Linked DNA regions of Xenopus tropicalis. The main gene of each other region encodes a partner of the protein of the gene in region 3 in a complex. Links are inferred from orthologs where the notes say so. Each region holds a gene or a part of one and is shown on either strand. Other genes may lie near its edges.

What was found.
Region 1: the proteins of lyrm4 (region 3) and nfs1 are in contact, whole or in part, in a crystal structure (PDB 6W1D), measured with the Homo sapiens proteins. The link is inferred for Xenopus tropicalis from reciprocal best matches to the Homo sapiens genes LYRM4 and NFS1. Residues at the interface, in NP_065141.3 of Homo sapiens: Phe23, Tyr26, Asn27, Tyr28, Thr30, Tyr31, Arg34, Arg35, Asp38, Val65, Arg68, Gln69, Ile72, Thr78, Asp79, Lys80, Leu81, Ile82, Ile83, Asn85; in NP_066923.3 of Homo sapiens: Leu56, Arg57, Pro58, Leu59, Pro68, Leu69, Pro71, Arg72, Leu74, Asp75, Leu78, Glu314, Tyr317, Arg321, Asp372, Arg412, Phe413, Thr414, Thr415, Glu417, Glu418, Tyr421.
Region 2: the proteins of lyrm4 (region 3) and ndufab1 are in contact, whole or in part, in a crystal structure (PDB 6ODD), measured with the Homo sapiens proteins. The link is inferred for Xenopus tropicalis from reciprocal best matches to the Homo sapiens genes LYRM4 and NDUFAB1. Residues at the interface, in NP_065141.3 of Homo sapiens: Arg6, Leu10, Ser11, Tyr13, Arg14, Leu17, Arg18, Lys21, Arg37, Phe40, Arg41, Lys44; in NP_004994.1 of Homo sapiens: Lys92, Asp111, Ser112, Leu113, Asp114, Val116, Glu117, Met120, Glu123, Asp124, Glu129, Ile130, Asp132.

The regions. Positions count from the first base shown.
Region 1 is NC_030686.2:42,814,143-42,817,792, forward strand, and holds part of nfs1 (cysteine desulfurase, mitochondrial), read right to left. Parts: intron 3,495-3,650; coding exon 3,389-3,494; intron 2,663-3,388; coding exon 2,581-2,662; intron 2,046-2,580; coding exon 1,962-2,045; intron 1,507-1,961; coding exon 1,417-1,506; intron 921-1,416; coding exon 857-920; 3' UTR 1-856.
Region 2 is NC_030685.2:20,205,285-20,209,600, forward strand, and holds the start of ndufab1 (acyl carrier protein, mitochondrial), read right to left. Parts: upstream 2,940-4,316; 5' UTR 2,907-2,939; coding exon 2,760-2,906; intron 1-2,759. UniProt on the Homo sapiens protein: Carrier of the growing fatty acid chain in fatty acid biosynthesis.
Region 3 is NC_030682.2:88,245,232-88,249,425, forward strand, and holds the start of lyrm4 (LYR motif-containing protein 4), read right to left. Parts: upstream 2,916-4,194; 5' UTR 2,892-2,915; intron 2,725-2,891; exon of another isoform or gene 2,605-2,724; intron 299-2,604; 5' UTR 279-298; coding exon 193-278; intron 1-192.

The DNA.
Region 1 (3,650 bases), on a different chromosome or scaffold from region 3:
CTCAAAAGGATAGAATTGCCCCTCTGGGCTCGTTGACGTTTCCTCTCCTGACTAGTCTCTCTGTAGGACCATAGAATGATTTGATTGTTGCCCTTGGGTGGGGGGCAAATGATTGGATCAACCAGATTTGACATATACTTGTTTAGCAACCTCATCATATGAGCAGACCTTTATGTGTATGGTCAGCATAAGGCAAATAAGGAAAAAGTTTGTTATACATGGTGTTTAACTAGGAGAGGAAATTTTTGCAGGAATGTAATTCTAAAACTGATTGGCACTAAAGTTATATTGTCTCCCCCGAGCCCCTTCACTTTTGTAGACCACCAGCAGTGTTTCAGTAGCAGCGATTAGGCCAAAGCACTAACGTTTGCCCTATAGTTTGCCAAGCCCCACATCACCGATACATCTAGGAGGGCCACAGGTTGCCCAAGTCAGGCTTAAATACAACTGTTAAAAATTAGGGTTAAATTGAGCAGTAATAGTGCATCCCCTTTATACAGCAACTATTTACACACTACTCATAAGGATCAAACATGTTTTTTCTGTTTTATGTTTAATTTAGTTAGGTTTGGTTTTTATCCAGGCTCTGCATACCCTTTCATTGTACTGTAGTACAGAAACCTTCACTGTTTCACGCAGGCGTAATATGAAGGCAACCACTGTGTATATTACTCGAGCCTTGTTCTATAAGCTCAATACTACACGGAGAGTCGAGGCTACAAAGATCAGACAATGGCATCTCCGGAAGCAAAAGGCTGGTAACTAAAGTAATAGCAAGAGTTTGTGTAACAGAGGCCATAGCACAGAGCTATATGGCACAGAATCCAGCTGGAACCGATCCCCTGTAGGCTGCCGTTTAGTGCTGAGTCCACTTTATGCTCTTTAAGTCAATTCCGTCCTGGACCATCTCCCATAACGGGCTGCAAAGAAATCAGAGAAGGTGAATCACTGCTATATAAATCCAGAACAAAACTGGGCCCACAGTGGGGAAAATTTGCACATCATCAAGGAACATTAATGTCTACATCACATTAAAGGTTAATTCTGAAAAGAGAACCCTCACCCTTTATAAACATTCTTTAGGTGGCCATGCAATGGCAGATTTAAGCTGCCGATTTGGCATCTTATCTGCCCGTGTATGGGGCCCTCAAATGCGCCTCCCTAACCGATATCTGCCCAAAAATTGGCCAGATGTTGATTGGGCCAGGATTGGACCGGATTACTCCGATATTGTCAATCTAAGGGGGTATATCGGAGAAAAGATCCAATCATTTGCTGACCTCATCAAACAAGCGGATCTTATACTGTATGGCCACCTTTAGTCAGTAGTTCCTGCTTAAAGCAGACTACCTATATCAACTACTGACGAGTATTCCTTTAATCATTCCCTCTAATTACAGCGTATATCTTCCTCACCTCATCTCCCGCAGCCGTTTTACTTCTTCAACACACTTTTTGACTGTGTAATCAACTTCTTCCTCAGTAGTAAAACGCCCAATGCCAAATCTAATGGGCAGAAATTACAATTTACATATAATTTTGAAAATATACAAAGTTCCACAGTCTCAGCAGGGCTATAAAATAGAAGGGTTTATAAATCACACATACAGCTTACATATACATAGACACATTTAAGATCATATCTGGTCAATGTAAGTCCTAGACATAGATAGTAGAATTTCTCACATGCACACCCAAACCTCTCCAGCAAGTTAGGGGGGACGGCACCAGTGTCAAAACGCTGAACCAAAAGGGATTACCAGCACAGTGACACACAAGGGTGGATTCCCTGCTTGTAATCGCAAACACTGCGCTGGTAATTCCTTTTGGTTCCTAGACTTTTAGTTGCCTTGATGTATGGTGCTTCACATTACGGAAAGATCATTATCCTATTTGGGCACAAAACATTCTTCCAAACATAAAACAAGTAGCAAATTAAGATACAGTGAGTAAAAACAGACCTTATAGATGAATGCGCCAAGTCCTCATCAGCACCGATCGCACGCAAGACGTAAGATGGCTCCAGAGAAGCGGACGTGCAGGCGCTAGAGGCAGAGGGAAAAAACAGTTATTCCAATCACAGAGAAATTTTTTTATTTAATCTAAATTTAAAAAAGTGTTTCTTACAGCATTGGATCCCCCTAAAATTGGCTGTATAATTAAATATATATATGAGGCAAAGGGGTTGCAAGGAGTTACAGGACGCTGTGTGTTAGTAGGGCTATAACTTACCAGGCATTGAGATTCTGGCTGTTGGAAGTGATATATATTAATATCAGTGCTTTACAACTGTGAGGCTGCACTGGATCAGGAGCTGGGGTGAGATTTTGGGGGAATGCCTATTGCCAGCTTGGAGAAAAGTCTGAGAGTTGGAGTAAACATGTATTTGCTTTCCTAGATGTTCTTGGAACTGTGGCTGTATGACTGATAGATCAATGTTTTCCCATACATATAACATGAGCTGAGAGTGTCCCTGCCTGAAGGTTGGACCTCAGATGGGGGTTTGAATAGAGAGACTAAGAAACACTGAATTAAGCTGCCATTTAATTACAAAACAGAAAACAAATGTGTGCTCCATACCTTCCAGATGATAAGGCCACATCTTTAAGGGCCATCAGTAAGCTTTCCCCTTCCACATAAGCAAAGGAAAGGTTTATGCATCCTGTGGGGGCAAGAAAGTGTGATTATTTTACAGTTATATAATGGCCACAGTTTACATATCCCAAAAGCTACAGTTTCAACAGTCAGAAAAATGTTAAGTTCCATCACGGAAAGTAAGACATTAATCACAGTGACTGATGCAAACTACAGGTCATATACAAAGACAGATGGAAGACTGTAACCAGACCATAGGAAAACTTGGCACGTAGGGTGTTCTGCCCACTACAAGCAGTCAAACACCCCCTTTGCCTGTTACAGTTCCTAACGTTATACAATGGCAAGTGAACATTTGGGCACAGAGGTCTAACTGTCACAGATGAGTGTGTGTGCCACCCAAGGCCATTAATGTTGTGACAGGTGGAGATGGGCTTACAGCTGGAGGGCACTGGTGGTCAAAACACCCCGAAAACCTTAAGCTATGTGGAAAAGAATCCCAGTAATTGTCTGAGTCAGGAAATGTAACCATACAATAAGCCCCGTAATATAAGCCTGACAATTCATTTCATGCCCTTACAAGAGGACAGGCTGTTGGCTTACATACGGGACATTATTTTCTAATCAAGTGGCAAGGTGGCTACTTTCCGGTTCTAAGATTTTAGCTTTACCTGCCCTGACTTTTCAATGTTTACAGCCATTTTTGATGCCCACCATACAAATCAGTGTATTAGGCACAAATAACAAAGTCCCTTAGCTTAACAAATGCAGCTGGGGGAGGGGAAGGTATTACCTGGGTACCGATGCTCTGCATCTCCGTTTAAAACAACTTCAGGAATTTGGCTCATTATATTCTGGGTGAGTCTTTTGGCTAGAGCACTGATTCTTCTGTGATCATACTGTAACATAGATGTACAATTGTAGAGTATTAATGCGCCAATGCACAGGAGATAGTACTCATTTCTGCAACATTTCTCCACAGCAGCAAAAGCAATAAAACACATGGTTTAGGGCATGGTTTCCTCTCAAGGCAACTTTCGGGGGAAATTCCACTG
Region 2 (4,316 bases), on a different chromosome or scaffold from region 3:
TATAAAATGCTAGATGTCATTGCATTCAAAAGCAACATCTGTCTTTCCCTTTCTGTTCTCTGCACTGCTGGTCCTGACTAAAACAATAGAAAGCCAACTGACTGAGAGGCCTGTGAAGCAGCATGCAAGGCAGAACTCTACTACATTGCTTCAAGAGTCAGTCAGCAGTGCAGAAAGGGACAAACACAGACAGCTTTCAAAAGCAATTATATTTACACATAACTTTAAACCAGTGGAAATTAAAAATAAATGTATATTAAAAAGTTGTTTAGAACTACATTGGGGAAAATTGCACCTGTTAGCATCCTACAAATAGCAGAACATGTGAGGGAGGCATAGTGGGCACTGGAGTCATTTTTTCAATTAATTTGCCCTTCGAAGGTTAAAGACACGGTTTGCCCAACACAGCAACCCTCTCTCAGGGCTGTGGAGTCTGAGGCAAGTTTGGGTACCTAGAGTTGAAGGTGGGGGTACCATACACTAAGGAGTCAGAAGAATTTATGTACTGACTCCAGAGCCCTGCTCTCTTTCCATGTTTATATTTATACATATGAATGGGAGCCTAATACTAACAGGAATGTTGCTTCTCAGTATAAAGGTCACAGCATACAGGGTGTTTTGTACATCCATGGGAGGGGGATAGAATAGTTGAAACTGTCCCCAATTTACTTTGAATGGGTATTTCCTTCAAACACCCAGGAATGTCAAAAGACTGGGGGTCATTTATCAACACTGGGCAAATTTGCCCATGGGCAGTAACACAATGCAACCAATCAAATTGTTGCTCTCATTGTTCTACATGTGGCTGGCTGAAAAAGAGCCAATCGCTGATTGGTTTCTATGGCTTACTGCCCACGGGCAAAGTGTAGGTAAATGGGCTCCAGACACTTATGGCCCAAAGGTACCCAGTGCTGAATTTTCACGAGATAAGGGACTCTCATTTAACAGCACAGTGTTTTTGCACTACCACCTAACCATTTCCCAAGAGCTCCTTTGCATCTGAAATCTTTACTACAGGAGGGAGCTGTCATACTGATTTCTTGGCTAAGGCAAAGAGAAGAACACCACCAGCACCATGATAAGGAGCACTAAACTAAACACTGCAGTTCTCTAGTGCCACTCTCTGGTCACTGGGGCAGTGCCAAGCTGCAGATCTCCATTGTTAGCAGGCCGCATAGATTGGCCAACTTGGCAATAAGCAGCACCGCAAAACTATGAAGCTCCCCAACGGTACTGACTGTAAGAACCCAGGGGCTTGGCAGATGGTTACACCAGTATATACAGTGGCAGCAATTTGAAGGCTGTAATACTCAACATAGCAAAGCAGCTTAGAGGTTAACAAAGGGCGACCCTGGCTTGGGACAGTTCCTCCGAAGGCCCACTTGTGATTTGTGATTCATGTGTAGGGATTACCCCCTGAGCCTCAGGCTCCTGAAGCAATCCTTGAAGACAAAGCCCTTTATAGCCTCTTTTTTGCTAAAAGGTTAAGTGCTCAAGTGCTAAGTGCAAAATGCAGGGAAATGCAGTGCTCGCTGCCTTTCAAGTATTAAGCTGGCCATACACGCACCGATAATATCGGTTTCGTACGATATTCGGTGCGTGTATGGCAAGTCGGCGATAACGCAGGAAGGTGCTGATATCGGTCGACTCGCCGATCGGGCCAGTTAAAAAATTTTGATCGGGCGCCATAGAAGTCGCCTGACCAAAATCTGCCTTCAGCGCTGAATCGGCAGAAGGAGGTAGAAATCCTATTGTTTCTACCTCCTTATGTGCCGTTTCAGCCCTGAATGGTTTGTGGATGATTGTACGATCTTTCGTGTGACCAAGATCGCAAATCACCACGTGTGTGGCCACCTTTAGGCAGAATTGCCAAATATATGTGTGAAATGAGAGCTAAACCCCCAATTCACTGGGAGGAACCTGTTCAGCAGCCCCTGGTGCCACTAATTGCTAACATTCTACCCCAAGGCTGGTGCGCTTTTTAAAAAACAAACAAAAACAATATATTAATAAACCAGCCCATTGCGGAATGTGCCACAACCATATTACAGCTTTCCTAGGAATCCCACCCAAATGTGGAACATGCTCAGTTGCCCAGGGTAGAAGTATTATCTATTATAGTCACTGTAGGGTGCCCCAGTGATGTTAGGTAAGTTTCCCATCAGGATACAGTGCCTGTATATGTAGCGCTCCCACTGCCTGCAGGGAAGGTCGGCGCAGGCGCTTGGCTGCAGATGCTGCTCAGAGCAAGCTTTCTAGCATAAACTGCTTTTTTGCTGGAATAAAATCAGGGTGTCCTGCGCCCATCATGCATAGTACGTCCCATGGGGCCAGCATGCTGAATATGGCAGTGAGCCCACACAGGGTATCAGCAGTACCGGTACTGAGGCTCTCCCACCAACACAAGCACCCCCTACCTGCTCCATGTACTTACAGTGTGTAAATAGGAATGCACATGTGTAAATACAAGTCACATGGGCTATGAATGAAACAGAACAGGAAACACGCAGTCTAACATGATCTCCCTTCATTCCCCCCCACCAACCTTGCTGGGAGTAGTAGTTCTGCACACACCTAGGATGTATAAACTTCCTACTGCTGCAGCGCTCCAATCCAAAGCGCCCACTCCCGCCCCATACTTATCACTGACAGATGCGGAGCACTGACTTTATAGCGTTGTCTCTCCACTGGCACAGGTGCCGGTCTCCCCAGTGACCCCTGCCCGGCCTGCCCTGGCTCTGTCTCTAGCTCCCCCTTACCTGCGGTACGAGTATAGGAGCGGCCGTAGATGGCCGTGCCAAGGAGGAGCGTGTCCGACATGCAGCAAGGCTCAGTGCCGGCAAAGCTCGCCGGGGGAGGGGACGGAGAGCAGCGCGGACACACACACAGAGGGCACGGGAAGCCATGGCGGACAGCTGCTACCCAAGCTGCACCACGGCATGGACTGAACCAATAAGACTTCCGGCAGCGCTGGATAGAGTCGCTTTTAACCATAGAGATTACTGGATAGTCTGTCCCAGACCGGCTTTGCGATAACATTGATAGCACTTAGATGATAGAGAGGAGTAGCGGATAGAAAGTCTCGGCCAACAAGTGCCTACGAAATAGAGTGCGATAGTAGGGTAACACCAGGAGGCATAGGCACATATATTAACTTACATAAGAGAGCATGTTTTGGGCTTCCCTAAGGTTGTGACTTTAGTAACAGCACAGTCTCCTGATAATTATAAACTGCGTCCACGTTGCTTTTAACCATTGAATTAAAAGGGCTTAGAACCCACCAAGGTTACCTCAGTCACAGGCTGCACTGGGCAGAGATAGGAATCTGATGCAGGTCTGGAGTAAGACCCAACACAGACATTTCCAGTACTCAGAGGCCCAAACAGCACCCGCAGCCCAATAAATAGTGACTGTCTATGACTTCCTAATGCCGCGACCCTTTAATACAGTTCCTCATGTTGTGGTGACCCCCCCCAGCCATAGAGGAGCGGTATCTCGCTTCCTAAGGCTGATGCCACACGTGGCGTTTTTCCGCTGCGTATTTTCTAATTCTCTCGGCGGCTGAAAAACGCCTGATATCATCATCCATAGAAATAGCTTGAAAAGACGTGAAGCAAACCACACAATGCGGAAATACGCTAGAAAACGCCTTAGCACAGATTTTTCAAGCGTAGGCCGAAATACGCCAGTACTTGCAAAGCAAGCTATTCCTATGTATACGCAAAGGCAACTGCCAGACCTAGCGGAAATACGCTGCGTTTTTTGCTATTTCGTACTATTAGCACCGTGGCAACAGGATTTGCTTACGTCACCAGTACTAGGCTGAAAAACGCCATGTGTGGCTTGTGCAGCGTTTTTAGGCCGAGAAAAAACGCAGCGGAAAAACGCCACGTGTGGCATCAGCCTAAGACCATCTGTAATGTGTTTTCCAATGGTCTTAGGCAACCCCTGTGAAAGGGTTGTAAGAACCACTGGTCTATGGCATCTCCCAGCAGACCCTTTGGCATTTGCCAGAACTCACAGATTGTCAGATCAAAACTATGAACTGGGGGCATAACTTGTCAAAACTGTCCCACAGGGTTGACATTTTTTTTGGAATGGTGCAATAATCAGGGGTGTAAATGTGGATACCCATAGACAGCTTAGGTACCAACCCTTAAGCTGGCCATACACGCACCTCGTTTTGTATGATATTTGGTGTGTGGCAACTTGAAGAGGCAACCGATATCGCAAAAGGCTTCACTGACGTTCAGGGCTGAATCATCAGTTATGGAGGAACAATAGAAATTCTACCTCCACCTACCGATTCAGCCCCG
Region 3 (4,194 bases):
ACTATCTTTTGGCCAGGTTGGATCTGTAGAGTGCCACTGAAAAAATACCATATGGTATATAAATCCCAATTACTGAAAGTGCCCTTATCCAAATGTTTTCTATATATATATATATATATATATATATATATATATATATATATATATAAGAAAGTAAAGTAGGTTTTGAGTAAGTATGAGAAGAAAATGTACCTGTAATTGTAAGAATTGAACCTCTGGCTTTCTCTTAGCATAATCTTGTAGAGAGACAACACTTGTGACCGGCTGGAGGCTGCCATTTTTCAAAGATTATGTGATTCTGTTTCAAAACAACAAACTTTTATTACTTCGAGACTCTCCAGCATTAACATTAAAATATAAAGCAATATAAACAAATATAAAGCACATTGTAATAATTGCAAATATAAAATAACTTTGTGGCAATTAGACATTATATTATTCTTTTCAATATTATATTGATCATATATTCATGGTAATTCATTTTTTTAAATTAGAAGATGTTAAGATGTTAGAAGACAGTTTGCAACTGGTCTTTTTCTAGCCTTTATTTACATGTCCACTTTCTAACCTCTTCGAGTATGTCCTTAGCGTAACTGGCTGAGGCCACAAGCACACTACCATTTGTGATATACATCTGTATACACAATTCTGGGGGCACTCAAAACACATCTTAAAAATTAAATGTTACTGTCATGCAGTTCAACTGGATATGCTTTTTATATAAAACTCCATCCCAGGTAGTGATGTCATGTATGCAATTTAACCAACTTTATATAAATCCTTGCCTTATCTGTATATTTTGAGAGTGAAGTTTGGTGCATGTTGGGTGAATGGCTATATATGATCTGTGAACAGCTTACATTCTTCTAAAATCGAGGAAAAATGAAAGTGAAAAATGTTAGCTCCTCCTCTTGTATGGGATCCAATTTTTTGCACAATAAAAGAAAATGTAATTATATGTAACTTTCCAATATACATTTATTGAACAATTTTAACTTGTACATGCAGTTAAAATGACTCATGGTACATCCAAATTAAGAAAGTGATCACACTGTGATTAGTACAGTTGAAAACCAATCCAATTTCAATGTACCATAAATGTGCATGAGTTCTTGAAGAAGCCACGATGGAAAAATTATATTAAATATGAAAATAGCAAAACAAATATGGCCTCAAAATAAATCTGTTTTCTATTGCCTAGCATAACTGACCCTGATAAACACCTTTAGTATGCAGATATTGATAAAGTCAATTTGCATTTGGTCTTCATTTTTTATGGTTTTTTATTTATTAAGCTTTTTTTGTTCAGCAGCTCTCCAGTTTGGCATTTAAGCAGCTATCTGGTTACCAGGGTGCAATTTACCAGTGATTGATAATATGAATAGAAAAGGGGCTGCATAGAAATAAAGGTAAATAAAAAAAACCCAATAATAATAAAATTGAAGCCTTACAGAGCAGTAGTTTTTTTTAAATCTGGAGTCAAAATAAGAAAAAGGCAAATAACGCTGGAAAATAAGAGAAAAGGCACAAGTTACATAGCAGATAACAGATAAGCTCTGTAGACTCTGTTATCTGCAGTGTAACCTGTGCCTTTGCTCCAATTTTCCAGTTTAAATGACTGCCCCATGGCTACACAGCAGAGTATTTTTAAATTACAGTAGTGTTGCTAAAAGCAAACACGCAACTTTTTCTAGTGCAGAGTAACAGTACCTTCATACGTTAATTACTTTGATACATTTTCATTTTTTGGTGTTACTGTTCCTTTCTATTCCTAGCAACTTTGCATTTGGTCTTCATTATATATTACAGTTTATTAATTATTTGCCTTCCTTTTCTGCTTCTTTTCAGCTTTTAGATGGGGTCCACTGAAACTGCCACACAAAAATCTATTGCTTTCTGAGGCCACAATTTTGTTATTGTTACTTTTTATTACTTATCTTTCTATTTAGTCCTTTTTATTTCCCAGTCTCTCATTCAAATAACTGACTGGTTGCTAGGTTAAAAACGACCCAAGCAACTAGATAGCTGCTGAAATACCAAACTGGAGAGCTGTCGAACGAAAACCTAAATAACCACAAAAAATAAAACAATGAAGACCAAATGCTAATTGTCTCAGAAACACTCTTCAAAACTATTCACAGGGCCAGAGAGATGTTAATAGAGTACTTAATGGATAGGAAAGCCACATTTTTTTGACTGCAGTTTAAATGTGAATATTAACATTTAAACTGCAGTACAAGAGAAACATATTTTCTCTTTTCACAAATTTATTTTTTTTCCTTTTGAAAAGAGGTAAATGTATGACATGAGTTGTAGTTATCTCACAGTGCCAGTTGCTGAGTAGATATTTCACAATGCCAGTCCCTGAGTATAGGGAATATTATGGTTTTACATGACAAATCGTGACAGCTCTGTAACTGAATTTTCTTACAGCTTAAACTCCATGTCAGTTTAATACGGAGTTAACATACAACACTGAGGCTTAAGCGTGCAGTGCGAATTAATCCTGACACAGGCTAATAATAAATGCTGAATATTGCACTATTACAAATAGCGCTGGGGTGCAATAAGTAAATAGAGCCTTAGGAAGATGCAGACACTCACACTCCCTATACAGTTGATAGGTGAACCAGCGTGAAAGTCTCTTCCCTTCTTTCACTTCTTGCCTACTTTCAGCAGCTTCTAGCGCAAGAACGCATGACGTCACGACTACAGGAGGGGATCTGGGACAAACGTGTTCGTGCCGCGTTTTGCTTTCGGTTGGAACTTTTGTGGTATTTTCTGTAAAAATGCTATTTGCCTAAAAAGCGCCTACGGCAAGTTGTTCCTCTTATCGTAACAGTCATATGTCTTTGTAATATCAGTGCTAAACTTTTAAATATTAAAGATACCTAAATCGGCGATCTATGGAAAATGAGAATGTCGTCGCAGCTGCGAGCGTTGGACCAATAGGGCTTTCTTTTAACACGTTTCAGGGATGTTAGAGTAAATTTACGCCGCTGACATGTTTGTCCCAGGTCCCCTCCCGTAGCTGTGACGTCATGGGCTCGTGTGATAGGATCTGCTGAAAGTGCCAAAGGAGGGAGAAAAGGGAAGAGACCTTCACATTGTCACATAGATTACCTGCTGCTTAGGTCGTGTGAGTGTCTGCACCTTTAGAACTATATGTTAAGCTATGTAGTAATAACCATTTATTGTATAAATATATATGTAGGCTACGTAGTAGATCTAATTATATTAGCTGTTTTAATACATGCTTTATATTACAACCTGTATTAAACTGGCAAATAACGTCAATACCCCCATCTTTAAACTATAAATGTTTTAAATAGGCAGTTCAAAGTGTATAGGAAATCTGTTCTTCATTATTCTTTATTATTCTTTAATATATCATACTCCCAGTACCCACTATTGGCAACATTTGGCTCTGCAGTTGTTGGGAGAATTGTGTACACTCACACACTTAACAGTTATACATTTATTAAAAATGTACTTGCAACCAATCTGTATTCTTTAAAAATACAGACAGTCCATAAGTAAGGAAGAAACACTCCCACAAGAAGACTCACTCACCATACCTGCACACATGCATTTAAAATTATATTGACACATGTATGATTTAGAGTGGCTCTGTGTGCTGCTATTAATGCATTTAGTAACTAAGCAGCATTTACAGTTTTTGTGTGATATTGTGTTGTAAGAACTAAAAACAAGTATATAGGTTCCTAATTGAGAGATTATGTTGGCGCCATATTTATGCGCTACCCATATTGCCATATACATTTAGGGGCACATTTACTAATCCACGAACGTCCGAAAAGCGTCCGAATGCGTTTTTTTCATAATGATCGGTATTTTGCTACTTTTTTGAGTGCTCAATACGAAAGTCGCGACAATTCACGAAATTTGTAATGGCAATGAAAAAGTCGCGACAATTCACAAAAGTCATAATAGCTATGAAAAAGTTGCGACAATTCGCGAAAGTCATACTGGCTATGAAAAAGTCGCGACAATTCGCGCAAGTCGTAACGGCTACAAAAAAGTCGCAAAAAATACGAAAAAGTCGCAAAATGTCCGTTTTCCAATCCGAATTTTTCCCATTCGGATTCGTGGATTAGTAAATCAGCCCCTTAGAGTAATAATTGTAGAAAACCATTGCACAAAAACTTCCAGCTTTGGCTCTGCAACACATTA